Linked DNA regions of Mus musculus: all the other regions are reported to be linked to region 3. The links are microRNA targets in miRTarBase. Many come from high-throughput screens and were not tested one by one. Region 3 holds a microRNA gene; each other region holds the end of a gene's coding sequence. Distances are between the middles of the regions.

Region 1 (4,067 bases), not on the chromosome of region 3:
ATGGAATCTCTTTTTCCACGGCTCAGTAGCTCTCTGGGAATCAGAAAAAGGTGTTTCCTAATTATCTTAAGGCTGGAAAAAGGGACTGTCCTCTACAGTACTGCTCGGGAATCGACCAGAGCCACTGTGAGGGCTCTGTCTGTGCCTGCAGCCTGGGAGCTGATCCCTAAGGGTGTTTGTGCAGGAAGATGGCCCCATCGTGTTTGCTTGAGACATTTCCATCTGTGGTAAAAGAGATCTCCAGACACCTTTACCAGAACCAAGTCCAAGAATGCAGGAGTGTTCTCTAACCACTGCTCCACCCGACAGAGGCCGGGGTGTCTTACAAGTTGATGTGCAATCTTTGCTTTGTGTCACCCTCAGGGGAAGTTCCTGGCTCCAAAGGATTCACTGAGCCAGGGCCAGCTGGAAGGCAGGCCATGGGATAAGAGGTGTGAATGAAGGTTCCCAGTTGCTACAGATAACAGACAAGCAGGGACATGTTCCCCAGGCAGACAGGGGCTCTTCTCCATCAGTGTTGACTGCTTCAGGCAGGCTCTCAAAGCAGCCAAGAGAAATGGCACACATGGGTTCCTTGATTATGTCGGGGCCCAGTGGGAGCCACGTCTGAAGCAGAGAGGCCTGAGAACAGGGTCTCGTGGTTATGTTGGCAGAACCTCAGAAGTGTCAGATTGGTTGGGGAGAGTGAGGAGAGAACCAGTAAGAACTTGCCTTCTCCAGTGTGGGTGAATTTCTACTGGCACACGGAGCAAGGGATTTTTTCCAGAGAGGAAGGACATGGCAGTCAAGGCAGGAAGTCAGCAGGAACAGAGATCTCTGGGAATTATTGTTGGCCTCTTCTCTAGCCCTGCCTCAGTTCTTTGTGACCATGAGGGATGGAATGAGCTCTGAGTCATACAGTAAAGTCCATGACTAACATGGCTCATATGTAGGAGCAGTGATCCATTGAGATATGGGCCAGCATCAGACTTATAAACCTATATTTTAAATTTATTGGTCAAGAACTTTCAGAAAATTATTTGAAGAGTTTTTAAAACTTTAGTGACATCAACTGTTCATTGATATGGAGATGTCCTTGGGATGGGAAGGGCAGTCCCCTCACACTTAGGTCACCACGATAGAAACCTGATTGGGTCTGTTATCTTACTAACTCCAGTACATATCAGCGTTGGCATTCGGGTATCTTCAGGAGTGCATCCACTTCTTTGATAGCCTCCACAGCTTCTCATTGACACACCAGTGGCCCTGACTCACACAGACCACTGTTCTCTCTTGGCCAAGTGGGGGATGTTTCAGAAATACAAATAAGGCAATTGTGAAACAGGAGCCAGACCACTGTCCGGCCATAAGAGCATCATTCCCTGCTATTTCTTATCTTTACCAACTTGACTCACTGAGGGTCTTAACCTGTAGGCACTAGCTAGTTCTGATCAAGACAGGCCTACCAAGGAGTAGAACTGATCCTGCCTGCCTAAGCCTGGGGTCTAGAAAGCCAGGCTGAGTGTCTGTCTCTTGTGACAATGACTGCATCTCCTGTTACCCTAGACCTCTAGTCTCATCAGCAGACTCCATCCTTAGACTCCTGCAGCTTACCTATTGGGTGTTGTGGACCCGCTCGGTGATTTTCTTTCCTGAGTAGGGATGGCTGCTCATTTTCCATTCTCCACTAGACCTGTTTCACCACATAGAAGATGTATAACCCCCTACCTCATCACTGTGGACTCCCTTTCCCATCACACACAAAGACATACACACCACAGCATACACATGCTACATCATACATGCCACACGCATGTACACAAACACCATATTCATCATATAACACACACACACACACTTAAGTATACACACCATCTCCACCCAATCCCACACCTACTTACCAACCCTCACACCATATATACACACACGAACATACATATACACACCACCCCGTACATCCACACATATACCACACTCACAGACATGCACAACACACACACACACACACACACACACACACACACCTCTGCCTAGACCAGTCTTAACCTGTAGGTCTGTGGGTTGAGACCGTTTTGGGAGTTGGATAACCCTTTCACAGGGATTGCATATCAGATATCCTTCAAATTTGGATATCTACATTACAATTCATAACAGTAGAAAAATTAAAACTATGAAGTAGCAACAAAAATAATGCTATGATTATTATAATGTTGTGAGGTCATCACAACACGAGGAACTGGATTAAAGGGTCACAGCATTAGGAAGGTTGAGACCCACTGGCCTAGACTCGTGCAGATGCCAAGTGCAGGGATCCACAGTGTAACAATCCATCACAGACCCCATCTCCTTACGAGCTCAGGGACCCGGGCACCCAGTCTGAGGGGCACAAGGCCTGAGGTTGGGAAGCCATTCTCTAGGCTGCCTTAGCTTCTTGCCTCCCTATAGATGCCAGAGAAAGTTCTCCAGGGCCTGGCAAGAAGGTGCTTCTATTTTCAAAGGCTGGTTGAGAGCCATAAACACTGGGGTAGAGGTGTCAGGAAACATGTAAGCCAATTCCCAAGACCAGGACAGCTTATTGTTTTCAACCTAATGCTTCACTGACCTGACCCTCAGACCTAGACTGGAAGAGAAAAATCTGTGAGGCTGTGGACCCCAAAGCTCTTCTCCACTCTTTGATTCTTCTCCCCCTAGTCACCCACGAACTCTCATCCTGTCCTCAGGGCCCGCCCTCTAGGTCCCACCACCATGTTGGAGCTGTTCCACAGAAGGGAGGCCCAGAGGCATCTCAGTAGCAGCCTAAGGCTGCTCAGCTTGAAGATGCCTTTATGGGCACTTGTCACTTGTGTTTCATAGCCTACTTTTCTCCAAGGAGCCCCCGTGCAACAACTGCGGCAGATGTTTTCTTGGTTGTTATTTGTCTCTTGCTTTTTTGAGAGCGGTCTGTGTAGACTGGCCTGGCTTCAGATTCGAAATTCTGCCTCAGCCTGCCAAACGCTAGGATTACAGGCTCCAGATCATCTTATTTTAAAATTATCCTTGTGTCTCTCTCCTGTCTGCCATCCCTGTGTTAGTACCAAAGGGCTCATCTGGCTCTTTGAAATTCATATGTTCCCCAGGACCACTCCACAGGTTCTTTGAAGTTCTTGGGCCAAATAGTCTTACAAAAGGTACAACTGCTGGGGGGCTCTCCTTTGAAGCACAGAGCACAGTATGACTAAGGGTGTCAGGCAGTAGTGAGAACGACATGGTGTATGCTCCTAGGTACTTGGTGTCCTAAGGCCACTCTAATGAAATCAATTACCCTGTAAGCCATAGTGTTAGTGTCTACTCGACACAGATGAGGAAAACACACGCTAAGTAGTATCAGAGGTGAACAAGTGGCCTTGCTAAGAAGCTATTAATTAGTGGGTTTTGGCCTCAGACTAAAAGGCATTGCCCCTGGAAGGCCTCTGTGAACGCCTCCCCAGCTGGAGGCCTGAGTATCCATGGATAAAATTACCTCCCTTGATCCGAAGGTCTCAGGTGTTGTGCTGAGGAGACCAGGAATTGGGGAGGAAAGTGAACAGGCTCCAGTAATCAGACAGAGGATAGATGGCACCCTAGAACTCTCATTGGGAGCCCCACTCTGGAGGCAACTAATGCTCTCACAGAGGCCTAGAAAGCACTTGTCAGGAGGCCTAGGCAAGGCTACTTTCTCTGAGGCCCCAAGGAGGAGATGTGAGGCCTTGACACACTATTCCTCTCTGTAGAGCTTCCATACTCCTGGGGCCCCACAAAGCTTGCTCAACTAATTGGCCTCTCTGGCCTCCCAGGCTCCTCGGTGTCTGGCAAGAAGAGGCTCTGGGTAGCACACAGACTTCACATTGAGCCCCTGGTGGCCTGGGACACACTCAGTCCATTGGGCTCACCCTCTTCATCCTTCTCGGCCTCAGCTTCGTTCCCAGCCTCAGCACAGCCCCCAAGCAAGGGAGGACTGGGAAGGTACTGGAGGAGCCGACCGCTCCGCTTCATCTCCGCCAGCTCCTTGGCACAGCAACTGGGTGTGTTGGTCTCATAGGTGTCATGGAAAGTGTTGTAGTCCACCTCAT
Region 2 (4,067 bases), not on the chromosome of region 3:
GGGCTTCAATCTGACAGGAGACAATTGGCCACATACCCTGGGAGGGTGGTGGGTCAGGAATTTCTCCACAGGATTGTCTAGGTCCCTCAACATTTTGTCACTGAGGGGAGACAGTTCAGTAGCACAGTAATTGAGGAAACTGTCTTTCCTCTTTCCCCTCAGCCCCCTCTCTCCTGTCTCTCATGTGTGCATGTGTGTGCTCTTGCAGGCACATTTATACACACACACACACACACACACACACGCATACACAAACAGGAATGAGAGCAGGAAGATGGGCATCTTCTTTTGGCTGCAACTCCTCCAGCACATCTGGTTTTATGGTTCCCAGTGACCTGAGACTGGGGCAGGAAACAGGGAGAAACAAGCCCGGCCGCCCCTCCCGTCTTCCATGGCCAGGGCTTTCTCTCCAAGAGGAAAACAGGTGCTTCCAAGGAGCTCAAACCGCCCCAGCCTTCTGCACACCCACTGTGATGCCAAAGGACAAGCTCAGCCCAAAGACTCTCCTGAAGGCTTCTCCTTGGCTTTGCTTGTCCCACTGCTGCTAGGTCCAAGGGTCTCAGCAGGTGAGGCACATGGGAAGCAAGACAAAACAGCTTGGCTCTCAGAGTCTGAGCTTTTCAGCCAGTGATCTCTCTATGACCTCTCAAACTATGTGGCTTTGCATAAGAACTAGCAAATGGATTGCGACTGGGCCTACCAAAATGCCTCACACCACAGGCCAATCATTAGGCAAGCAGCTAAGGGCATGTTCTGTATCAGTGTAATGGGGAAACCTTACAAGGTCTATTAATGAAATCCTATCCCAACAGCACCCCACGTGGAAATTCTTAGCTCAGAAGACACATGTCATAGCCTTTGGTCATTTGAACCCAGCATGGTGTATGTGTGAAGGTGTAGACACAAAACTGTTTCAGACCAAGTCTAATGGTCCTGTCCCCAGCTGTCATGGGTACCTGGTAAATGCTGGCACACCCAGAAGGCTCTTCCACCAAGCCACACCTCTTTTCCAGTGGCTTCCTTACCAACTGCCTTCACTTGCTGAATACAGAGGGAACCACTCAACCTCCAACCAATCTACACCTTGACTGTTATATCAGACGACAAACCAAGATCCCAACGGCAGGCCAAAGGTGAACACGACCAGACCAGTCTGGATTTCTCTCAAAGTGAGTTCTAGCAAGTTCTTTCCCAACTTACCAGTCTATAAGTGGTTTTTACAGAGAGATAAAAGCCAATTTTGTTTGAAACCTTAATCTTCTCTTTCCCCCAGTGCTAAACATAGAGTCCCGGACACTGTGCATGTTAGGCAAGGCAGTACCCAGCAGGTTACATCCTAGCATGGCCTTCTTTCTTAAGGGAAAGGTAAGAAATCAGTTTTTGGGAAGGCTAGGGAGAGGAAGGTTTAGTACAAGCAGCACAGGGGCAGACTCTATACATTATTTATAAACACACACACACTCCATGTACAGCCAGGGTGAGAACCACCTCCAAACGTATTGAAAGCAGACATGGGGAATGGATCTTCAGGTAGGACAGAGAGCCTTCTAAAGCAGACAGACACAACTCCTTAACAAGCCTACTTGTGTGTTCCCAGCTACCAAAGAGCTCTCAGGGAAGGGTCAGGACTGCTGGCTGCAAACTGACGAGCACTGTCTGCACCGCTCTAGGGAAGGTCAGAGGCTACCTGAGCACCCAAAAGTCAACCCAACCCTAGTGTAAATCTGCAGTCGGTCACCCTCTCTGCTACATAAAAGTGCCAAAGCTTAAAGAAAAAATTAAGGATCCAAGAAGACAAAAATTAAATATGGCCAATAAGGAAAAGAGGACTACAGAATAGTTCCAAAATGACCCAGAAGCCTCTTGGAGCTGGTGCCTTCACTTAGCACTTGTCCAGTGTCCCCAAGAAATGATGAAGCCTTCTACTGCACCCAGAACCCTTGACTCTTCAGATTACTTCATCACCAGCTTCCCTTTGACCCAACCCATCTACAGAGGGAGCAAACCAAGCATAGACTTGGGGCGTCTCTCCTTGGACATCTTAAGCCATGTTAAGGCACTTCCATTTACATCTGTTCAATATTCTACAATGTTGTAGACCCTCCGAAACGGACTGCAAGCGGTTCCCACCTTCCGACATCTGAAATGGAAGAACAGTGGACTTAGCTTCCCCTTTATTTTCATGTGCAGCCTGGAAAGGTGTCAAAGACAAGCTCAGTGCTTCCTCCTCCAAGTAAAACACAGGAGCGACCACGCCCTCCCAGTTGAACAGCATTATAAACCACGCCCCTCCCAGTTGAACAGCATTATAAACCCCAACCCAAACGGCACACACAGAGCAGCGTGGGACTCCACTGCCCCCACACCACACTACAAGAGATTTTCCTTTTTATTATTGTTGCTTTACAATAAAAACAAATTGCTACGCTCTCAGCAAAACAAAGTAAAACAAAACAAAAACCCACAGGAATTTAACTAACAGCAGTTCAAGGTAAGGCTTTTGAAAGATTTATTGAAATAAATTATCTTCACCTAGGCGCCTGTTATCCTTTCTCAGTTACTTATCAACAGTCTAAAAACTTCCAGGTATGTAAAATACATTTAACTTTGCCAATAATTTTAGATAATACTGGATTTTTCCCAAAAGGACTACCATAAAACTATGTTTTGAAACATTAAAAAAAAAAAACCTTAATCCAATGGGACATAAAACTATGTATCCTATGATTGCATGTTTCAAATCCTTAAATACGTGGAGAATTTGAGCCGATCTGGGACCGAGTCTGCTTGAGGCATGTGGATTATTCAACATCCTCTGTTTCCGTTTAATGAGACCCACAGGAACAAAAGCAGGGAACTCAAGGGCTCCAGGGACAAAGATACGAAAGGTGTTTCTTCAGCAGTGTCCTCCAAACACCCCTGCCCTTGCTGGGCAGGCCCCATGCCTTTTTCCAAGGATCAAACCCATATGTTTAGCATAGCCTAATTGGGTTGACCAAGGAATTAAAGTCATAACCAAAGGAAAGGAAGAGGCGGCAGCCATGGGGGCAAGCTTCTGTGATGCGAGAGCACCAGAGTGACGGAAGTGAAGCCAGCTGGGGACTGGGCTCAGATTGGTCCTGAATGTTAAGGGCAGAAAAGGGCCTCCTCATTCTGCAGCCCTGAGCTTCCTCTTTCTACTCCAGGTACCAAACCAGTTCTTTCTACACCATGTCCTGCTGGTCTAGAGGTCCAGGCGCCTGTGGGACTGGCCTCCTCCCTAAGCACAGCATTTAATCGTAGGCTACTTTGCCATAGTGGTGGTCAGGCTCCTGCTGCGCACCTTCTGACTGCTGTTATGCACCCTCCCCAAGATCCGTGCTTCCTTCCAGCTGTGGTGCTAAAATACTCAACATCTGCTGTGGTTTATATCAAAACAGAAATTCAAACTAGCTGCTGCAGGCAGGCGAGCGCCCCAGTGCCCACTTCTTTTTGCTCGTCCCCTACTCCCAACAAGTCCAGTCAACACCAGAAGAGGCCATGCCTAGAGTTAAAATGTGCAATGTTTCTAAGGGGAAGAGAAATGTCACAAAGAAAGTATTACAAAGGATTAAATTTGTCAGCTGTCCACACACTAAAGACCACATGCTTTATGCAGCAGCAATGCAGTCGCAGGTCTCCACACAGCAGGCAGAACTGGGACAGGCCTCTTCCGGTAGGTAGAGCTGGGCAGGAGGCTGAGGAAGGTGAGGAAGCACTAGGTTGTCCGTTGCCTCTGAAGTCTCCGCTCAGCAGCGGCTGCCAGCATCCTTCGGCGCAGGGTCACGGGGTCAGAGGATGTGCCTTCAGAAGGGAGGAGTCTCTCTGAGGCCCCATCATCTTCAGAACTTTTGTTTAAGAACCGCCTATAAGAAATAAAGCCACAAGAGAGAGAAAGATGGGAAACGGGAAGACAGTTTCCCCTTCTCCACAGGCATCTTCACAAAGCTGTCACTCAAGCCCATCCTGTGATGAGAAGAGCCTTGCCCATGGCTCGGGTACAGTGCAGCTCAGCAGCAGGGCGCTTGCTCAGTGTGTGTAAAACCCTG
Region 3 (4,067 bases):
AGAACACTCCTGCAACAACACATAGCACAGCATAGTGAACAGTCAACATGTGCTAATTAAATCACCTGGCAGAAGATTCATGATGACAAGGCCCACTCTCATGTGTAATCCATGCACACAAGGAAGTGTTTGAGTTGGTTTTGGTTTTGTACACCAATTATGTGTCTGTCTATAATATTAGGTACATGCCTACAGAAATCATGCTACGGTTTCTCTCTCTTTGTTGCATATTCATTTGCCCACATGCCATCATCAAGTGTGGGAATGAGAAGGCAGGAGAGACCAGCTGAGCTTCTCCCAGACAGCCTGCATGAACATACATAAGAAAGAAGGGAACTCTTTCCTCTCTAGCCCCTCACCTGGCTGGATTCTGTGATTATAAGATTTGAGTGATCATCAGAATCAACTGGAAGGCTTAAAGAGAATATAAACTGCTCTGTGTTATGACCTGATAGGTCAGGGGTGGAACTCCGCACTTTGAATGCATTCCCATGTGACGGTGATGCTGCTGATTCAGGGATCCTGCCTTGAGAATCACCACTGTAAATGGCCATTCAGAACATGAAGCATCTGGACACGGTGGCACATCAGACCTATAATCCCAGCACCCAGAGCCTGAGGCAGGTGAACCAAGAGATCTGGGCTACTCTGGAATAGACAGCAAGTTCCAGGCTGGACTAAGCTACTTAGTTAGACCTCCCTCATCTGAATAAAAAATATACATGATATAAAGACTACTATTTTTAACATGAAAGAGATTCACTTTTCTTTTGGGATCACATGTTGCCCAGGCCAGCTTGCAAATGTGTGTAGAAAAGTATGACCTATGGAGGTGGGTATAGGAGAATCAGCTTGAGGGACAGAGCTACACAGTAAGACAGTAAGCTCCTGTCTTCAAATGGGAGTAGTGATGGTAGTTGACAAGAAGTCACTTAGTCTACTGGTCTTCGGGCTGAAGGGATGAGGAGAGGGAACAACACAATAGGCTCCATATCCACTCTTCCTGTGAGCGAGTGACTCCTCTCCACGTAGGCCCATGTGTTTAGGCATATCTAGGGCCATGGGAGGGGGAATAGTTTGAGAAATCTCATCTATCAGACCCTGCACTGAGTCATTCATACAGAATAGAAAACAAGGAACAATAGACCTAGGTCATTCTTTTGAACAGCAGTTGGTGAGTCTATAATAGTCAAGGATCTTAGTGTGTTTATTAGTCTCCTAAGAGAGTAGCACCTCTGTTCATTTTGTTTCCTGCTACATCCTCTATGACTAACAGAGCTGTATCAAATAGTGCATACCTGAATATTTGTGAAAGGAAGGAAAAGGAACAGGGGTGTGGACATATAGGGGCTCTGTCCTTTAAAGTGCAGGCGAAGTGCCACCCTTTGGATTCCTTGGACAGGACTTACTATTGAAAACAGCACTTGTGCTGAGGATTAATGTTCCTGATGAATCAGGTCAGATAATCCTCTCTGTGGGCACAAGTCTGTGAATCCTCTCCTCTGTATACACTGCATTTATATGGGACTGTGTTAAAATATGGAAGAATCCAAGTGGACAGTGTACATGAAGTCCCAGTCTACAGTCCACTCATGCAGGCATAATGGATGTGACACAGCTCACTCTCCCTGGACCATTTGCTCCCTGAACCACATGTGGTTCATACTCCTGTGGACCAAATCCCTAGTTGAGTACCTGCCATACTGAATAAATAGACAGGAAACAGTGGAAGGAGGCGTAAAGGTCCTACATGAAGATAACTCAATGTCTGAACCCTTGCCCAGGTATATTGCATTCGCAAAGCACACTCATCCAAGTAGCAAGTACTAGAAAGGCACAGCCTGCACCTATGCCCTTGGCATGTGGGTTCAACAAGAAGGCTTACTGTTCTTGCCCTGTGCATTCCTCCAAGAGTTGAACTAAAGAAGAATTTCTCTTCCAGGTGTCGGTATGAGAACTAGAATGAAAAGCTGCGCACTTATGTCAATACACAGTTTACTATGTGCCCCACTTGTTCTTGATACCTGTTAGGGTCATAAGTGGAAATAAAGTTCTACCTATAAAATCTAGGTGGGAAGAGGCCAAATTTGTCACATTTACTCTCCCATGCACCATGCCCGTTGTATTTGTAGAAGGAAAGAAGGTGGGGGGAGGCATAAAAGAAGTATGCAAGCAGCAAACAGATGAGATATGATGCACAGACCTCCTGTCCTTCTCCATGCAGATCAGGCTCACCTTCCCCAAATCCTTGCCCGGGTGCATTGCATACAAATAGCATTTTCACCCAGGGACAAAGGATTAGAGAGGATGAGCAGAGCAGAAGGCCCAGGCACCTGTACCATGTTTGTGTGGTTCTGTATATAATATTTAATTTTCCTTGTCCTGATTCAGCCAAGCATCACCACCTATACCCAAGCTTGACATCCCTGATTTATATATGTATCTGCCCCCTTCCCACCATGAGCATCCTCTCTCAGAGAAAACTTCTACGTATACAAAATGGTATCTCTCCCAGATCATACTTGAGAATTTGTGGGGGCCTGATTTATGTTTGGAAGGTAGCAAGAAGGCTGGGATCTGAGAATGCATATACATACTGAAAGAGGGCACAGTGGAGGAGGATACTCCATTCCTTTCCAATGCCTTTATACAATTCAAGCTTTGTGGAACAGGGGTTATCACTGGATGTAACAAACGGGTTGCCTGAGTAGCAGCACCTAATGTGTGCTCCTCATCACATGATCTGACACTTAGCAAACTGGGAATCAAGAAAGCTCATGCTGAGAATAGAAGCATGTCTACCAAACATGATAAAGACCATTTTGCTGTTAGAAAATGTGTAGAACCAAGTCTGACAGCTAAAACCAAAATCAAATGGTGGCCAGGAGGAGGGAAGGTGGCAGGTGAGATGTGCAAGTATGGGCCATTCTACACGCAGACAAGGCTCAGCCTCTTTGAATCCTTGAACAGGTGTGTTGCACTGAAGCAGCATTCACACCTAGGTTCCAAGGATTCGAGAGGGGGAGCAAGCAAGAAGGCTCAGGAACCTGCCCTTCCTGTGTGTGGTCAATATGCTTGTGTGCAACACACTAAAAGAGAACGAGAGATGCGCTCTGTCCTTTACAAACACAAAGGTCTGGCTCTCAGAATCCTTGCTGAAGAACACTCTCACCCAGGTAGCAAGGATCAGAGAACTGAAGCAGGGCAAAAGGCTCACAGCAAATGAACGCATGGGCTCACCTTTGACACAAGGTGCTTATCTGTGATGAGAAAGAAGACAATGTTCTTGAGCTTCACATTAAGTATGTCTAGGCACCTGAGTTCAACTCCCAGCCTCCACATAAAAGAGCCAAGCGTGAGGACTCAAAGAAAGCTAGATCCCTTGGCCTAACTGGTGAGTGCCAAGTCCCTATTAGAGACTGTTTCAAAAAACAGGGTAGATGTCCCCAAAGGGGAAGCACCTCAGGTTGACCTCTGCACCCTCCACACACATACACAGAAAGAGAGAGAGAGAGAGAGAGAGAGAGAGAGACAGAGTGACAGACAGACACAGAGACAAAGAGAGACAGAGACAGAGAGACAGACAGACAGACAGACAGACAGAGACAGAGAAACCTGTCTAAATATATACATTCATATTTTGTTCTGAGATTATAAAAATATAAAGCCAGAGATACAAAATACTGAAAGAAAAAAAGACAGAGAGACAGAGAGAAGAGGCCATAAGCTCACAAGATGGCAGTAGAGATTGGCATCCTTTAACACACATCAGCATCTTGTTAAAGTTACTTCAGATACCTGGAGGACTTGGTACTAAGATAACTTACAGAGGTTTCTCATTAGTGAGCTCAAGATTTTGTATTTCTAAAAGGGGCTGGGTGATGCTGGGGACCTTACCAGCATCATGGATAAGACAGAGAAACTGTGGAGTTTGGTATCTACAAACCCTGTTTCAAACCTATACTTCACCATGTACTGGATTAAAGAATCTACCTGCTTTCTCCAAGGTCATGGACTACTTCTAAAAAATGAGAATAACAAATGCTATCTCTTTAAAGAGTACCAAA
Region 4 (4,067 bases), 160 Mb from region 3:
AGACAAGATCTCTGTGAAGCCCTGGCTGGCCTTGAAGTCACAGATTCGCCTGCCTCTGCCTCCCTTTGAAGGCATGCACCACCACACTTGGCCCATGTAGTCCTCTAGCCATGGCATGTATTCATTGTTTTAAAATGACATTCCTCTCTCTGGCTTTGTCTTAAGTTACATCTATTTGAAAACTTATCTTGTCACCTTCCAGGCTTGCATTTGCTAAGTTTAAGCTGTGTGCCTCCTGCTCCACACTTGGGCTATAATGTGTAAAACAGGAAGCCATCCTCCCAGCACAGTTTTGTCCCTGGACATGAACACAAATCTTTTCATTGTAATGTCTATAAATAATATTTTGCATCTGGTGTGGTTAAACTTGTAGGTTCTCCAGTATTCATATGTTTGAACCCTAGTGTGATGGTATTAGCTGGTGGGCCTCTGGGGCGTGATGCCATGAAAGCAGACCCTCCTACATAGAATGAATGAGAGCGCAGTCATCCCTTTCAGAAGTACCAAGAACTTGACACTGTACAAACCAAGGCCTGACCCTTACCAGGCACTGAACTTGCCAGCACTTTGTTACTGAGATTCTCAGTCTCCAGAACTGTAAAAATGAAACAAAAACTCCAAAGTTCTATTCTTTACTCCCTACCTTGTCTAAGATTATTTTTGTAGCAGGAGTAAGCCAGCATCTTTACTGTAGAATCCTTTAATCTTATTTATAATGGATAATGGGTGAACTTGTTGATTTTTAAATATTTAGGTTACTAAATATTTTAAATATTTTAAAATATAATAAAAAGGTAACTTATAACTCTGACTTCTTTTTTTTTTTTAACCCTCCAAGACAGGGTTTCTTGGTCTAGCAGTCATGGCTGTCCTGAAACTCACTTTGTAGGTCAGATTGGCTTCAAACTTATAGAGATCTGCCTGTCTCTGCTGCTCAAGTGGTGGGACTAAAGGTGTGTGCCACCACCTGGCTCATTTCATCCTTTAAAGTGTGTGTGTGTGTGTGTGTGTGTGTGTGTGTTTAAACCAGAGGTAATTGGAAAAACCTGTGTCCCCCAGAGGTTCCTATGTTTGATGGTAGAATTACTGTCAAGGTTACTTGTGGTTGTGTTAAAGCACTCTAGTATTTATTCAGGAGGCTTATCCAGTGACACAGTGCAGCCTGAGCAGACGGTGTTAAGTGAGACAAGCTTCATTACATTGGAGCTCCTGCTCATTTCCCTGCAGTGCGTGAGTGAAGGGGAATGATCCAGAGGCAAGTCCTCATTTAGAGGTGCTGTGCCCAGAATGCTAAAGGCACGGCCTCACATGGAGAGCAAATGCATAGGCACCCTGACAGGGTTCTTTCAAGTTAGACAAGGAAATCCCCACACAAATTTAGTGCTGCTGCTTAAAGAATCAACTTAGACTTAGCTTTCATTATATCCCCAAATATACCTTTCCCCCTAGACTTTGGCTTATAAGTCAACAGTTTATAGACCCTTATTCAAGTTCCCCATTTTTTCCTTTGCCCAAGATTAAACTATGTATGTGTCAATCCTGTAGGTAGATGGCTTTTTATTGGAGAAACTAGTTGGGAAAATTCTGTGCGTTTCACACTCAAGTGCTAGTAGCATTTTATACAAAGTACAGCTCAGTGGGCTACAGTATTTTCTCAATTTGCTCTTGCTAAAAACATTTTGCTTGTGTTTGTGTGCACGTGCAAAATGAAACCAGTAGCAGTCTTCCATGGACTATATGTCTCTACCTATGTAAAATCTTGATGATGTATATTATTTAAAAAAAATGACACCATACCGCGAACAGAGAAAGATAGGATTTATGTATGGTAAAAAGGCAAGCGAATGAAGCTATAATTTTATTTCATTATTCTTTAGTACATCCACAACTATTTCCACCTAAATAGATCTTTAAAATAAGCATACACAAGTATTGACTATTATCTACAAATATTTATTGTAACACTTGAATAGAACTACAGGAAGCCCTTGGCACTGATAGAAAATATTGATTCACTGTTAGGTTACAAAAATTTATACATAGCAAAATTTAATGCTCTTTACATAAAAAATATTAGACTACTTCAACAAAACTTTCAAAAGTTCCTGGCAATAGCTACCAGAATTAGAAAAGTAAAATTAGGCTTTAGACACCGCCTCTTCTAGAACACTGGACTCTTAACAGCACCTCCACTGCTGGAAACAATAATTCTGTCATGCAACAGGAAAACAAAACACTAAGCTATCTTGGAACAACTGTTCTACACAGAAGAGAGCGTCTCCCAATTAAAAGGAATCCAATTAGGCGTTTCTCGGCATTATCCAAAAGAAAAAAAATCCAAATGAAATATTATAGTTGATGTTCAGTTTTACTAGCATCTTGATAAAGATATGCTTCCTTTCATTTGAATACATCTCTGCACATGTATATGTTTTAAAATCCAGGAAACAGCCAAACCACAAGTTAACTCTTAACATGAATATACATAGTTAACCCTATAGTATGCAGCCCCTTTGAAAAGCACTGATGCACCCCACAGTTATATGGATCATTCCAGAAAGAAGAACACAAAACTTACCATCACTAATACCCAGTACCTATTAGTCACTTAATGTTCTGGAACACAATGAGTTAGAAGGCAAGTTTCTTTTGAAAATGGCTTAAACTCAAGCAGTTTTCTTGCTGAATATCAAACATTATTATTCCAGGAAATTAAGATTTAGATAGGAAAACAGTGAAATAAATACCAACCCTAATTTAAATTACTTATGTATTAAAGTCTATAAAAGTAGAAGGTCAGAGGTCTGTGGTCAATTTGCAGTTAGGTTTTAGATAGTTGATATGAAACTGTAAACTCACTGTCCAGACCACTTAAAAATGGTTTAGAATGGTAGTCACTTTAACAAGGTAACACTTCTTAAGAAAGATATTCATGGAACAAAATAATCTATGTAGGAATTTTGGGTTTCTGGTTACAATATAAATGATTAGAAATTGAAAGCAAATATTAAGGCAGAGCTGACATTTATTTCCAAACAATAGTGATCACCAAATCCTCAGTCCCATTTTGTTCCGATGTGATCAACTGGGAAGCTCATTTTGCAGAGCTCGGGTCAGAATCCAGCTTCTGCACTGATACATTTAGCACACTTGCAGCTCATTTTCCTATTACTAGAAGATAGGTTTCTCAGTGGCTTGGGAAACATTCGAATGTGTGAGACCGTGAGGGTGCTGAGTTTTAAGTTTGGAAGAATCACATTATCTTTGATGAGCCAAAGGTTAATAAAGGTCAGTTATCAAAAATGAACTTGACACTGATTCTATTTTGATAACACTTGAAGACAGGTGGCATATGTAAATCTAGGGTCATATCCTTTGATTCTGGCATGCCATAGGTCCCCAGTAAGGAACGTGATGTGATTCTATCCCGTGTTAAAACTGCTCTAGCAGTTAACTGGACATGCCACGACTTTGCAAAGGATGAACGGTCATTCTGTCAAAAGTGTTGCCTTTTAAAATGGCTAAAGTGAAACCTCCAATATTTGTTCTAAAGAAACTGATTTACCCACTGGAAGGTTTTCCTAGAGATCCACCCCAGCAGTTTGAGACAGACAGTGAAATGTTGGTACGTCTACATTAGTTTGGTGGGATACACATCTGTACTGCAGAGCAGCTGTCTGATGATGTGTCAGAGCTGTGAATTCATTGGCTGACACGCTCTGGCAAACACTTTTAAGTGTAAGAATTGAGTTGTTCTTTTGAGCGAGACTGGATATCTTGCAGTTCCTGCTCTTCCTTTGCTTTGATATCCTGGTAAGCCTGCATTTTGCTTGCATCCTTTAAGTAAGCCCAGTTAGAAGACAGTATCATGAGGAAGTGGATCTGGAAAAGAAGGGTGAGCATGATGGCTAGTGAGCATGTGAGAAGGCAAAGCGAGCTGCTAGTCACATTAGACGGATCAGCTGGAGAAGGGCGAGGGTTATTCGCTATTAATACTCTTCTGCTGGCAGAGCTGGCAGACACGGAGCATGCTCTACTAGTTTGCTTCATAGTAGGTTGAAGAAACG
Region 5 (4,067 bases), not on the chromosome of region 3:
CTGCTATCCATGTCTTCTCCGACCTTCCAGAAGAACCAGCGTGGGACCTGCAGTTTGATCTCTTGGACCTTAACGATATCTCCTCCAGCTTAAAACTTCACGAGGAGAAAAATTTGGTTTTTGATTTTCCCCAGCCCTCAACCGACTACTTAAGTTTCCGGGACCGCTTTCAGAAGAACTTTGTCTGCCTCGAGAACTGCTCTTTGCAAGATCGGACGGTGACCGGGACAGTGAAAGTGAAGAATGTGAGCTTTGAGAAGAAGGTTCAGGTCCGGATCACCTTTGACACCTGGAAAACCTACACAGATGTGGACTGTGTCTACATGAAGAATGTTTACAGCAGCTCAGACAGCGACACCTTCTCCTTTGCCATCGACTTGCCCCGTGTCATTCCAACTGAGGAGAAAATTGAGTTCTGCATTTCTTATCACGCTAATGGGAGGATCTTCTGGGACAACAATGAGGGTCAGAATTACAGAATTGTCCATGTGCAATGGAAACCTGACGGAGTGCAGACTCAGGTGGCACCCAAAGACTGTGCATTCCAACAGGGGCCCCCTAAGACTGAGATAGAGCCCACAGTCTTTGGCAGTCCAAGGCTTGCTAGCGGCCTCTTCCCAGAGTGGCAGAGCTGGGGGAGAGTGGAGAACTTGACCTCCTATCGATGAGTTAGGCAATCTACACACTGCCCTTGTCTGATCATAATCCTCATGCAATTCTAGATCTGTATTGCTCAATATTAGGAAGTCGTAGTTACTTTCTATCAGTAGATTTAGGTATGAGCTGTTGGGGCCTGGCTATAGAAGCTATAGCTACTTGAGAATTCATTGTTGGGGGTTTTTGAGGGTGATGCCACCAGCTTTGTTCTGAAGGATCAAGGACAGCCTGGGAACTAGTTTTATACAAGCGACACCTTTTTTTGGGAGGTGCATCATTTCCCTCTCAGTTCACCAGCTTTCACTTTGACCAAGGAAAGGTTTGAGGACTGTTGATGGTGATGGAACGCTGTGGTAAGGGTGTGAGGAATGTGAAATGTATATGCCGAGGGCTCGAGTCAGCGGAGGAGCCATGGTTAAGTGGATATTAAGCCATTGGTGGGAACACATAAAGTTATCTTGTGTTTCAGAATGGGTTCTGCAGGCTTCTCCTGAGGAAATAGCTCAAAGATGGGAAAGAAATCCATTCTATGCATCCTTGTATAGGAAAATAAAAGGATGTTGGATGGTACTGGGGGAGAAGATGAACTGAAGAATCAAGATCTTGAGGGCTAGAGATGTAGCTCAGTTGGTAGTGTGCTTGCCTCGCATGCATGAAGACCTGGGTTCCAGGTCTAGCATCATACAGCTGGGGGTGGCAGCACATGCCTCTAATCCCAGTATGTTATAGGGAAGGCAGAGGCAGGAGGATTAGAAATCCAAGGTCATCCTTGGCACACAGAAAGTTGGAGGCTAGCTTGGGCTAGTCAAGTCCCTGTCTCAAGGAAATGATGATATCAAAAGATCTCAAGTGAATCCTTTCAGTTTAAACATGGTCTACCAGGAACCATGTTTTAGAGAGTGTTGAAGCACATCTGGCTTTGCATTCTTAATTGGATAAGCGGCTTTGTGATGAAGGCATCACTCTTGGGTTCTTGCTACAGAATGCTGCCTGACATCAGGCATGTTGTCACCAGTGACTAGCAGCATGTAGGGACTCCACATCGTGTCAAAGAGAGCTCTTTCAGTGCCTCCATTAAACCACAACACTGTAGCTGTTTAAACCAGTTACCTGAATGCTCATCTAATAACTCATGAATGTTTAGGACCTTATTTGAAGGTCTATTCACTGGTGTCCTTCTGAAATCATCAGGAGGGCCATCAGTGTACACAACTCACGTCCTTCATATTGAAGGTGACTCATCTTTCTGCCACACTTTTTCAATGTGACATTTGAAGTGGGGACTGACACCAGAGTCTCAATGCAAGAATCCAGGACCTTGCACATGAAAGTATCGGTCTATCTCGTGCCTAATTTTGTCTTGCTGTTTTAATTTCTAGTCAAAATGCTTTTAAAAAGTGTAGATATGAATTATTTTGAATGTGAACTGTTTTTGCGTGCGCATAAATCCACTTTGTGGGATCTTGAGGACAGGTGTCCTGGGTTGATTGTCCGGTGTGCATGTACTTTGAGGTGAGTTGGGAAAGTGCAGTGGATTGTAATGTATGTGATCTGCCATGCTGGAAAAACACTATTGGGATACCTCCCCTGTGATGGTATTTGAGGTTTGGCTAGCATCCATAAGTTCTCTGCTGTAAATACCTACATTGTCCCTATGAGCCTCTCACTTTTAGAATAAATGTGCTTGGTAAAAGACCCGAGAATGTTTTCTTTCCCCCCAAACCATAACTGGTTAGATCAGAAATAGAGCAACTGAAGTTCTCCTGTTTTGCCTAGCAACAACCAAGCAAGCTGGTTTGGAGCAGGAGGTGGCTCAACCTGCACACATTCACCTGCCTCAGACTCGAACGTGACCGCGGCACGTGACCTCAGGTCTCGTGGCGGACGGTGGACAGCTGACAGCCGGGGCTTGGGTCCAGAGGCAGTAAGCTGAGCTGCTGTAACTGTGTCTGTCTATGGCTCCTCCTTCTCTCACATGCTTTCTGCCGGGCCAGGCTTAGCCTGGGTGCTACCTGTCACTCACACACTTGGGGGGTTGGGGGGAGATAATGCAGGAGGTGTGCAATAGCTCTTACGTTTTGAGCTCTAGTATCTTTCTGAGGGGCAAAGCTTGGAACTGCAGAGAAATCCCAGGAAGGGCCGATGGGTATTACTTTTGGGCTGAAGGGGAAGCACAACTTTTTAGGGTCAGTCAACAAACAGGTCCATGAACCTAAGCCGCTCTTCCAGTTTTGCCTAAAATTTCCATAAATGTCTTCACACTGCATCATCATCATTAAAATTTATTTATTTATTTACATCCCAAATGCTGCTCCACCTCTCCGTCCTTCCCTCACAGAGTCCCTCCCTCACCATGTCCTATCAAGTGTCTGTCAGGTTAGCACATCCTCTCTCATTGAGGCCAGACAGGGCAGCCCTGTTGGGGAATGGATACCACAGTGAAGACTACAGCTTTAGAGAGAGCCTCCATTCCAGTTGTTGGGGGACCCACATGGAGACTGAGCTGCACATCTGCTACATATGTTTCACACTGTATCTTAAAAACTTTTATTGAAAAAAATTTATATACTCTGATCATATTTTTCCCTCCATGAGTTTCTCCCAGATCCTCCCTACCTAGTCAATTAAATATATATATATTTAAGAATCTCTCTTTATAAAACAAACAAGAAAGAAAGAAATACCTATTGGACTGAGCATGGGGTCCCAGATAGAGGAGTTGGAGAAGGGACTGAAGGAGCTGAGGGGTTTTGCAGCCCTACAGAGGGAGCAACAGTGGCAACAGGCCAGACCCCCCTCCCCCAGAGCTCCTGGGGACTGGACCACCAATCAAAGAGTACACAGGGAGGGACCCATGGTGTTGGCCGCATATGTGGCAGAGGATGGCCTTGTTGGACATCAGTGGGAGGAGAGGCCCTTGGACCTGAGGGTGTTCAATGCCCCAGTGTAGGGGAATGCCAGGGCAGGAAGACAGGAGCGGGTGGGTGGGTGGGGGAGCACCCTCATAGAGGCAGGAGAGGGGGGGATGGGATAGGGGGTTTCCGAAGGGGAGACCTGGAAAAGGGAAAACATTTGAAATGTAACTAAAGAAAATATCCAATTTTAAAAAAAAGTCAGACCAAAAAAAGCAAGCAAGCAAGCAAGCAATACCTCTCCCACACAAAATGGAAATCAAAATAAACAAGTGAAAGACCCATAAGACAAAAAAAAAAAAAAAAAAAAAAAGCCCAAGCAAAGCAAGATGAAACAGAAAGTCTACAAAGAAGTACCATTGTGTTGTTATGAGTTGGTTCTATTCTTGGGCATGGGCCTGCCCTGGAGTGTGGTTAATACACACGTTGACACTTCATTGGGAAAAACTGACTTTTCTTTTAGCCAGAGGATATCAACTGCAGATAGCTTCTTGCTTA
Region 6 (4,067 bases), not on the chromosome of region 3:
TCTATACACACACACACACACACACACACACACACACACACACACACACACACACACACACACGGTGGGGTGCAGAGAGGCACTGAAATGTAGCATACAAAAAGAGGCCATGTGACTATGAATCTAGAGTACTTGCAACTAGAGTGGTTAGAGCCATACCAAGCCGCAAGAGGCAGGAATAGGCTTCCTACCAAAGTCTTAAGGAGAGCACAAAACAGTCTATATCTTTGTTGTTGAGACAGGGTCTCACAATGTAGCCTAGGCTGTCCTCAAGCTCCCTATGTAGACTAAACTGGCCTCAAACCTGCGACACTCCTGCTGGCATTACAGACAAGCACCATGCCTGGCTGCTTTGCTTTTTGAGACAAGGCCCAGGCAGGCCTTAAACTTTTGATCCTTCTGCCTCAGCCTGTGCTGGAATTAGAGGCACGCACCACCATACCTAGCAAATTTCTTTTGCTTTAAGCTCTCAAGTTTGTGGTAATGTTTTGGCAGCCATAGAAAACTAAGAGAAACTGGTAAAATGCATCTCCCTCACATGGTGTGTGAATTATAACCACAGGTAGATAATGAATTCCACACTTAAACAGAAAGCCAATTAAAATGTTCTGTGGGCAACAACTAACTACAGAGATTTACAAGCACACTGTACATGTTATTTACACTTACAGTTAATGGGCTCTACTGCCTTCCTATACATTATAGAACACCTTTACATGCATGTAAGCATGTCATATACAGGTCTGTTTCCCATCCTGAGCCTGGCCTACAGAACACTCTTCACACAACAAGGTTAAAGGAATGGAATGAGATCTTAGGTGGGTAGGGCTGGTACATCCAGTTGCTGTTAGAAAACTACTTTATAAACATGAAGACTGAGTCAGGGGCCAAACAAAGCTCTAGGCCCAGTGCCATGGCTAGAACAAGAAAGATTCAGAGTCAGGTGTGGGACTCTGAGAGACTTGCTTAAGGCTATTACTTCATAAGGACTGGGGGCACTATCCCAGGACAGACTGAAGCCTAGATCACTGGTATCAAAATCTCTTCCATCCCTTGTCCCTAGGAAGAGCCACCCAAGCATGGATTGGGATCTGCCCTTCTGCAACATCACAGCTGGGATGACATTTGGTGCTTCCTCTCAGTTCTAGTGTCATCCCAGTCCACTGCACAGTTCATACAGAGGCCCTGACCCTTCTAGACCTACCACTGCTTTTCAAACTGTTGGCCAGTCATTCTATGGGCAATGAAATGGCTTGACCAAGATTCACAGTGGCAATTTGAGCAAATTGGCTCAGATCACTGGAGCAGAGCTGGAGAGCTGCTGACAGTTGGCAATACCCTGGGATCCACATTAGGGACCCCAGTGGACTGGAGGAGCCCACTGAGTCCCAATCTCATCCTATCCTACCTGCTTTATCTACCAATGTTCTACACCCAGGGAGGCCAAGAGCCTAGCTGCTGAGTACAAGAATGGCCACGTCCTCTACCTGAGCTCCTCTGTCCCTGCTCCAGCTCCACCTGTGTTTGTACTGGCCTGCAGCTTCTCTACCAAGCCAGGGAGAGACTGTATCTTCTAGAATTCCATGAGGTGTATCCCTGGCCACCCTCCTTGAAGGGGAGAGGGCAGTGGGCAAACACAAGTCCACCTTTAGCCATCAATCAAGGGGTGTCAGTGACCAATCTTCAGAGGACTGGTGGGCAATAAATTAGCTTTCTCCAAATCCAGTTGGAAGGTCAAGAAAATAAATTAAGGGAAAAACCAAAGTCAGGCTTTCTCTCACCACAGCATCAGACAACTGTTTCAAAATATATTAGATTTGGTTTTTATTGTAGAGCACACACATATTAGGGCAAAGTGCTGCACACACAACTACAAATCATTTTTTGGAAAAGAGCAGTAAAAAACAAGAAAACAAAACAAAACAAAAACCCCAAACCACAGAAGATCTGTGACTGCTTTAGTTATGCAGTCTCAACTTGAGGGCTCCACACTGGCAAAGGATCTGACCCCAAAGAGACTTCCTGATGACTGGGTGCTCCCACACCTCTGCAGCCACTGAGGCCCGAGAGCCAGACCTTTGTGTACTTAGAGTGGTGGTGGCATGGCTGCTTAGAAGGCCTCTGTTTTCAGCAGGCTCAGTCCTGGCCTGGCTGCCAAAGTCAATCCTAATGAACCCCACCTTCCAGGATCTAAATAGGCAGAAACTCTCAAAGACTTTACCTTTGTATTTTTTTTTCTATTATTTTTAGAAGTTCCTTTCCCAGCCCCCAGGCCCGGCCCCAAGACTGAGAAAGTATTAATCCAATATGCAGGTCTGACTTCTGGCCTTGGATATATGCTATATGTGGACAGAGCAGGCACATCTTCTTAGGGAGATGATATGGGAAAAGAGGCCCAAGATGGTCAAATGAGGAGAAAGAGACTAAAGGGAGGAGAAACACCTCAGAACAAAAGAAATGAAGCCCTACCACACACCCCAAGTTCCCATAACCCAAATGCTAGATTGGAAGCCAATCAGTTCCTCTAGCTAGAAACAATTCCTACAAATGACCCACTGCAGCAAGTCTAACAGTTCCATACAATCACACACATATGCCTAACAGGAGCAACCCAGCAAACAGGCATGCTCTTAGCAAAAGAGGTCAGAACCATTGTGCTAGTTCCTTGACCATCCAGGATTGGTGGGCAGAGCAAGCCAGAGGGCATGCAGAAAACCTGGGGACTCAGAAATGGGATGGCGGGGGGATGGCACTGTTTAAGCCCCATACGCAGCAAACTTGAACAGTGGGGAACAGGGTATTTGCATGAGATTCCAGAGCCTGGACAGCAGGTGAGATGTATGGGCACAGCAGACCCAATGCAGGACCTGTATGGCTCCAAGAGACCTCATCCAAGCATGAGCATCAGTGGAAGAAAAGGCTGGCAAAAGAATAGTTTTTGTTTAAAACACTACAAAGATTTACATTTTAAAGCCCAAACTAGAATTTCATAACCAAAACATTTTGTGTGTTTCAATAAACTTCCACTTGAAGACAGCTGTCCCCATTGTCTCTACTGGCTACTCTGGTGTGAACAATTCTCTACAGAAGCCAACAGCTTTTTCCATCAAGGAGGAAAGCCAAGAACAAAAGAACCCAGGTCTTTTACCAATTCGCTCTTTAGCCTTAATGGTCAACAAAGCAAGGAAAACGTATATAGGACCAAAATAACAAAGAAAAAAAACACTCAAACGGAACAGAAGATGGGGTAGCTACATCAGGATTAGCCAGAGTCCCAAGAGGGCACAGAGCCTCAGTGTCTCCTCATCTTCACCTTGCGGGTGGGGCTGCTGGCTGCCTCTGGGCAATCTTCCGAGGACTCATAGGATTTGCGCCAATAGTTCTCAGAGCTAAAACTCCCCCTCCGCCGGTGTGTGGGCAGGAGCACAGACCGCCGGTTTTCTTCTTTGTCCATTTCCAGGATCCGGGGCCTGCAAACAAGAGGGACAAGCTGTTACTTGAGAAGCCAGAAGGAGGGTTCTAGTCTTACAGTCACTAAAGGGGACTTCAGAAGCCCCATCCTTGAATTGGGCTGCTTGACTCAGTAGATCTCAATCAAGATGCACTGATAACAGTGGGGCCTGCCCACTAAGTGACAGGGGCCAGTCCCTGTCTTGGGCTGTCTCTTAAAGACACCTTATGGAGTCTGCTTAATTCTGAGTTTGGTGCCCAGGCCTGTGTCAGGTGTGCTGGGCTTCCCTTACCTCAGATTCAAAGTCTTGCAGGCTTTTGCCATACACCCCTACTTCCCCACTCTCCTACTCAGCTGCACTGCTGGCTTCTGTGTGGGTTTAAGTACCTGTGGGCAGCATCAGGGTCTGCCTTGCGGTGGGACCTTTTGGGTTTCAGCGCAGGGTCTCTGGTGTTTCCTGACAGGCGATCTGAAGCATAGCTGGGTGGCAATGTGGAGCTGCTCAGGGATTTTGTTTCCAATCGCGGTGCATCTAATCTTGTCCTGCAAAGGAAACACACATGGAGTCTCAAAAGGGCATCTTGTAAAGGCATAAACCCTATCAGGACAGATCTGT
Region 7 (4,056 bases), not on the chromosome of region 3:
GTAGCCAACAACAGCCACCAGCCTCCACCCCGGATCCAGACCTCTTCAAGCCCTTGGCTTCCCCAGCAGTCCCACTTCACAGCTCTGGCCACCCTTCCCAGTATGCAGCAGAACCCACCCCTGCCAGCACAGAGATCTTCTGCAGAGACCAGCGAGCTGAGGGAGGCGCTGCTAAAGATCTTCCCTGACTCTGAGCAAAAGCTGAAGATCGACCAGATCCTGGCAGCTCATCCGTACATGAAAGACCTGAATGCCCTGTCGGCCCTGGTGTTGGACTGACGGCTGGGCTGGAGCCCACTGATGCTGGGGAACTGCCAACCGTGGGATGGACCATAACGTGAAGAAGCCTTCCCGGAAAGCATTGCTGTGTTGTATAGAAAAAGGAGGGAAATGTTTTATGTATACAAAAGTCTGGGGTTTCAAAGCCAGCTTTTTTCTATATATAAATTATGCTGCTATTACAGACTTAACGTTTTCTGTAAAAGGAAAGTACTCTTTCTGCCTGTTCAGAACTGTTTAATAGCAGTTACTCTTGAGTGTATTTACAGTTTTATGTTTTTTAAACTATTTTCCTTAAAGCTGAAGAAAAAATGACAAATAAATATGGTTAGCCTTTCTAAATAAAATTTTAAAAAAAAATTAAGAAAAAAAAAGGAGTTGCTTCCTTAAGGAAAGCAAGACTTCTTAAAGTCTATTTTCTTGAGGTAATTTGTCCTGTTCACTAAACATGGCGTGTGCTCCCCTGCCTTCATCCCTAGAGTGGGCCTGCTCTGCTCTTGTGGGGCCTTCTCAGCGAGCCATTATGAGAGTGAAGAAGTGGAGCCACTAGATGGCATCTGACACCCGGGCTGTCACCAGTGGCCAGACAAAGTCAGACTGAGGAGCAGGTGGGAAGTCTTAGAGGACGTACAGCCCCAGCATGCTCCCTGACTGGCGTAGCTCCGTAGTGCACTCACCAGCCATGGCCGCCATGCTCCCACCCTGGCTCCACAGCTACCTTAGCCTCAGAAGACAAGGTAGGCACTGAAGCCTCTGGTGAGGAGACCCCCCCCCCCCCATGTGGCGTTTGTACAGCTTTGCCAAAAAGTTTTCTATTCTCAAGGATGACCCAAGCCAATAAATAGCATTAGTCCTTTCAGAAGGGCCTCAAAGCCCCTGCATTTCCCTTCTTTTGTCTACTTAGAGGTTTCTTAGCAGCAATTCCTGAGTCTTTCAGAACCAGTTATCTCAGTATTGTCTCTTCTCGGTGTAGCTTGAAGTCTGTGTCTGTGAACCCCCTCCTGGTCATTCTTAGTGTCTTGGCTCTCACCTGGACCTTCAAAGGGCTTTGTGTTCTCCATCCATGCAGTCTCCAGGCCCTTGTGGTTAAATTCACTGCCCTGTGGATTGTTGTTCTCCCGGTCCCGCAGGTAACCGTGGACTTGGTGCTGGTTTGTTATCCGTAGTGCAGGGACTGTGTAGATCACAGAATGCTGCCACCATGCCGTGTCTTGGTTCATTTGGTCCCTGCACCCATCAGGAGATGAACAGAGCCTTCTAGGTGGCCATACTTACGTGATCTCTCCTGAATTTGTTGATGATCCAGCCTGCTGGGAAGCTGTTTGTCATCTGTCCCTAGGGGGTTTCAGACCTGCAGGCTGTGTGAGTACAGAACAGAGACTTCTGGCCAGCCCCAGGAGTTGACCCACCACAGTCCCCCACCCAGTGCCTCAGCTTGGGAGCACAGCAAAGGTGCCAAGGTGGAGCTGTCTCCAGGGCTTCCTGGTGTGGTCAATCCCAGCCCAGCACTGCTGGGAACCAGGAGAGCCGGGAGTACTCCATAGCTGCCTCAGCCTGATGCTGGCCTGAGGAGCACAGGCTCTCAAAGGCCCTTCGGCTAGCCTGATCTTTGAGTTGTGTGCCTCTGTGTTCTTAGTATTGTTTCTGAGAGATACCTGCCCATTTCCCCTTGCCCCATATAGGAGGGAGGAAAAAGCTGGAGGAAACCAAAAGGCATTAATTACTTTGTAGATTATAATGTGAAATATAATTCTAGATTCTTTGTGAAATCTGTCACATTTAGGTATAACATTTACAGCCCAGTTATCCAGCCACTGAAGAAAGCTCACAACTTGCTTCTTTGCCTCATCCAAAGCTCTGTTGCTGCTAGGTGCTTGTAGATGCTTGACCTCCATCCCTCCAGTGCCTCCTCAGTGAACTTGGGAGCGTCTTGGAATTCCTCCCTGTGTGGAGTGCCTCTGCCTCCTGTGTATCCTGGCATTTGGTTGAGGCGGCCAGTGCAGCTAAGGCTGATACCTTTGGTCATTGGACAAGGTGTCGTGTGTGTGTGTGTGTGTGTGTGTGTGTGTGTGTGTGTGTGTGTGTGTGTCCTGGTCCAGTGTGGTTGACAGGCTCAGCTGTATTTCTAGGACATGTTAGGCATGAAAGAGAGCTCCACCTCTCCTTGCCAGTCCCAAGTACCTAGCCCTCCCCCTGGGAGGGGCATCTACTGCAGGCCCTCTGCACCAGGCTCACCCAGGCCCTTGCCTGCTCCCCATACCTCTCCAGGGCTGTCCCTCCTCAGCATTCTGAGCCACCTCAGCTGGGTCCATCAGTTGCACTGTTCGCCCGAATCGTTACTTGGTTCCTCTGATCCCTTTAGTTAAAACACCCTTCGTTCTGTTGCTAATGCTTCTCTCTGGCTTCCCACTTTCCCCTCCCAGATTTGGAAACTTGGCTTCTGCCCACCACATGGGAGTAGCCTGGGAAATCACTGGTTGCCATTTCATCATTAATGGAGTAGCTACAGACAGCAAAGCCATTGGCCTCCCTTTCTCTGTTTTCCTTCTTGAAGCGCTCCATTCCTTTCTTCTTGAAGGCCTAGCCTTAATTCAGTTTCTCAGCAGGTGGCTCTCAAGGTGAACCACCCCTTGGGCTTACAGAGAAAAGGGCAACCCTTGCTACCCTTGCTAAAAGGCAGGCTGTCAATCTGTCACCGCCCTGAGGGATGGACTCAGTGCTTTAGAGGAAAGCTGGTGGCTTGTCACTGCCACACGCCTTGAGTGCAGGGCCCTGGTAGGTGGTCTGGAACTGGACTTCCTTAGGAGTCGCCACTCTCCTGACTACCCTCCACTCTGTGACACCAGTCCTCTCACTAACCCTGTGGGATCTTGGCTCCCAGAACCTCAGCCTGCATCCTGCCATCTCTCACCTAACTCTGAGGTCCCTTAAATCCTTCTTGGCCCTTGGCTTGCTACTGCCTACCACCTGTTCCCACAATCCTCCGTGACACCGTTCCCTCCCTCATTGGCTACCTTACAGCTCTTCCCTCTCCCTAATTCCAGGGGACTCCAAGTTCATCTAGAGGGCCATTTTGCATCATCCTCTTCCTCTGTGATCTTCGACCAGAGCATCACGTTCCTACCCTCTGAGCCATGTGTCCGCGGCTGCTGCCCCATGGCCGCACTTGACTGTCTGCTTTCTCTTGCCATGATCCTTACTCCAGCCACCCAGATCTAGGTTCCCCATAGGCCCTGTTCATGTTTCTTCCTCTCATAGACATGCCCTTCTTCCCTACAGCCTGCCTCCTCAAAGGCCCAGCCCTGAGTTCTCTTTGTGTTCAGAGCAGAAGCAGCTCTATGCTATTCTGTGGCCCCATGGCAATTTGGTGTCTTGCTTCTGGCTCTTACCACTCTGGCCGGTGTAGCTGCAGCCAACTGTGTACTGTGTTGCCTCCCTCTAGACTGTGAGCTCCTCGTGGGCAGGGACCATATGGTCACTCTGTATCTCTTGTGGCACCTAAAAGTGCCTTGCACTTGGTAGGTGCTCAATAAATGTCTGTTCAAGTGAGAGCTGGAGGGTGGTGCTTTCTTGACTGCGGCTTTGGCAAGAGGTCCCTGGAGGATCTATGGTGATCGTGTTCAGAGACGGGACCCACCTTTGTTCAATTTGGGGGTGGGTCCAATTGCCTGGCTCGATCTGTCCCCCTTTGGAGGTGGGGGTGGGAGGAATTCAGCACATACCATCCTGGACAGAGTTGCCTAGCCCTGGAATCCTGACCAGATGGAACCATCCCGA

What was found. The annotated mature microRNA mmu-miR-362-5p reads AAUCCUUGGAACCUAGGUGUGAAU and lies in region 3 at 2,991-3,014, opposite strand. An mRNA with a match to its seed (bases 2 to 7 or 8) in the 3' UTR can be bound and repressed. Matches are read on the target gene's strand: a 7mer-m8 pairs with bases 2 to 8, a 7mer-A1 pairs with bases 2 to 7 and ends in A, and an 8mer does both.
Region 1: miRTarBase lists Kcnj5 as a target of mmu-miR-362-5p. Seed matches in the 3' UTR shown: 8mer at 3,011-3,018 and 7mer-A1 at 2,093-2,099.
Region 2: the mRNA of Amfr is a reported target of mmu-miR-362-5p. Seed matches in the 3' UTR shown: 7mer-A1 at 2,545-2,551.
Region 4: miRTarBase lists Gpm6b as a target of mmu-miR-362-5p. Seed matches in the 3' UTR shown: 7mer-A1 at 3,370-3,376.
Region 5: the mRNA of Ppp1r3c is a reported target of mmu-miR-362-5p. The part of its 3' UTR that is shown has no 7-base or 8-base seed match.
Region 6: miRTarBase lists Alkbh5 as a target of mmu-miR-362-5p. The part of its 3' UTR that is shown has no 7-base or 8-base seed match.
Region 7: miRTarBase lists N4bp1 as a target of mmu-miR-362-5p. Seed matches in the 3' UTR shown: 7mer-m8 at 1,099-1,105.

What each region holds. Positions count from the first base shown.
Region 1 is chr9:32,313,743-32,317,809 of GRCm38, forward strand. Kcnj5 (potassium inwardly-rectifying channel, subfamily J, member 5) reads right to left here. Exons shown (of 4, transcript NM_010605.5): 4 at 965-4,067. The coding sequence ends at 3,838. Among named protein-coding and RNA genes, the nearest start is that of Kcnj5, 29 kb to the right of the region's middle.
Region 2 is chr8:93,969,431-93,973,497 of GRCm38, forward strand. It overlaps Amfr (autocrine motility factor receptor), which reads right to left. Exons shown (of 14, transcript NM_011787.2): 14 at 2,158-3,884. The coding sequence ends at 3,737. Among named protein-coding and RNA genes, the nearest start is that of Amfr, 41 kb to the right of the region's middle.
Region 3 is chrX:7,239,029-7,243,095 of GRCm38, forward strand. Mir362 (microRNA 362) reads right to left here and starts at 3,018; the gene lies at 2,954-3,018. All of the region lies in intron 2 of Clcn5 (chloride channel, voltage-sensitive 5), which reads right to left. It overlaps Mir501 (microRNA 501), which reads right to left and starts at 2,323; the gene lies at 2,215-2,323.
Region 4 is chrX:166,386,767-166,390,833 of GRCm38, reverse strand. Gpm6b (glycoprotein m6b) reads right to left here. Exons shown (of 8, transcript NM_001177955.1): 8 at 1,801-3,882. The coding sequence ends at 3,733. Ofd1 (OFD1, centriole and centriolar satellite protein) reads left to right here. Exons shown (of 23, transcript NM_177429.3): 23 at 1-801. Among named protein-coding and RNA genes, the nearest start is that of Gpm6b, 44 kb to the right of the region's middle.
Region 5 is chr19:36,730,016-36,734,082 of GRCm38, reverse strand. It overlaps Ppp1r3c (protein phosphatase 1, regulatory subunit 3C), which reads left to right. Exons shown (of 2, transcript NM_016854.2): 2 at 1-2,352. The coding sequence ends at 668. Among named protein-coding and RNA genes, the nearest start is that of Ppp1r3c, 4.6 kb to the left of the region's middle.
Region 6 is chr11:60,553,641-60,557,707 of GRCm38, reverse strand. It overlaps Alkbh5 (alkB homolog 5, RNA demethylase), which reads right to left. Exons shown (of 4, transcript NM_172943.4): 3 at 3,839-3,994; 4 at 1-3,470. The coding sequence ends at 3,293. Among named protein-coding and RNA genes, the nearest start is that of Alkbh5, 18 kb to the right of the region's middle.
Region 7 is chr8:86,840,910-86,844,965 of GRCm38, reverse strand. N4bp1 (NEDD4 binding protein 1) reads left to right here. Exons shown (of 7, transcript NM_030563.2): 7 at 1-3,827. The coding sequence ends at 279. Among named protein-coding and RNA genes, the nearest start is that of Gm33877, 8.7 kb to the left of the region's middle.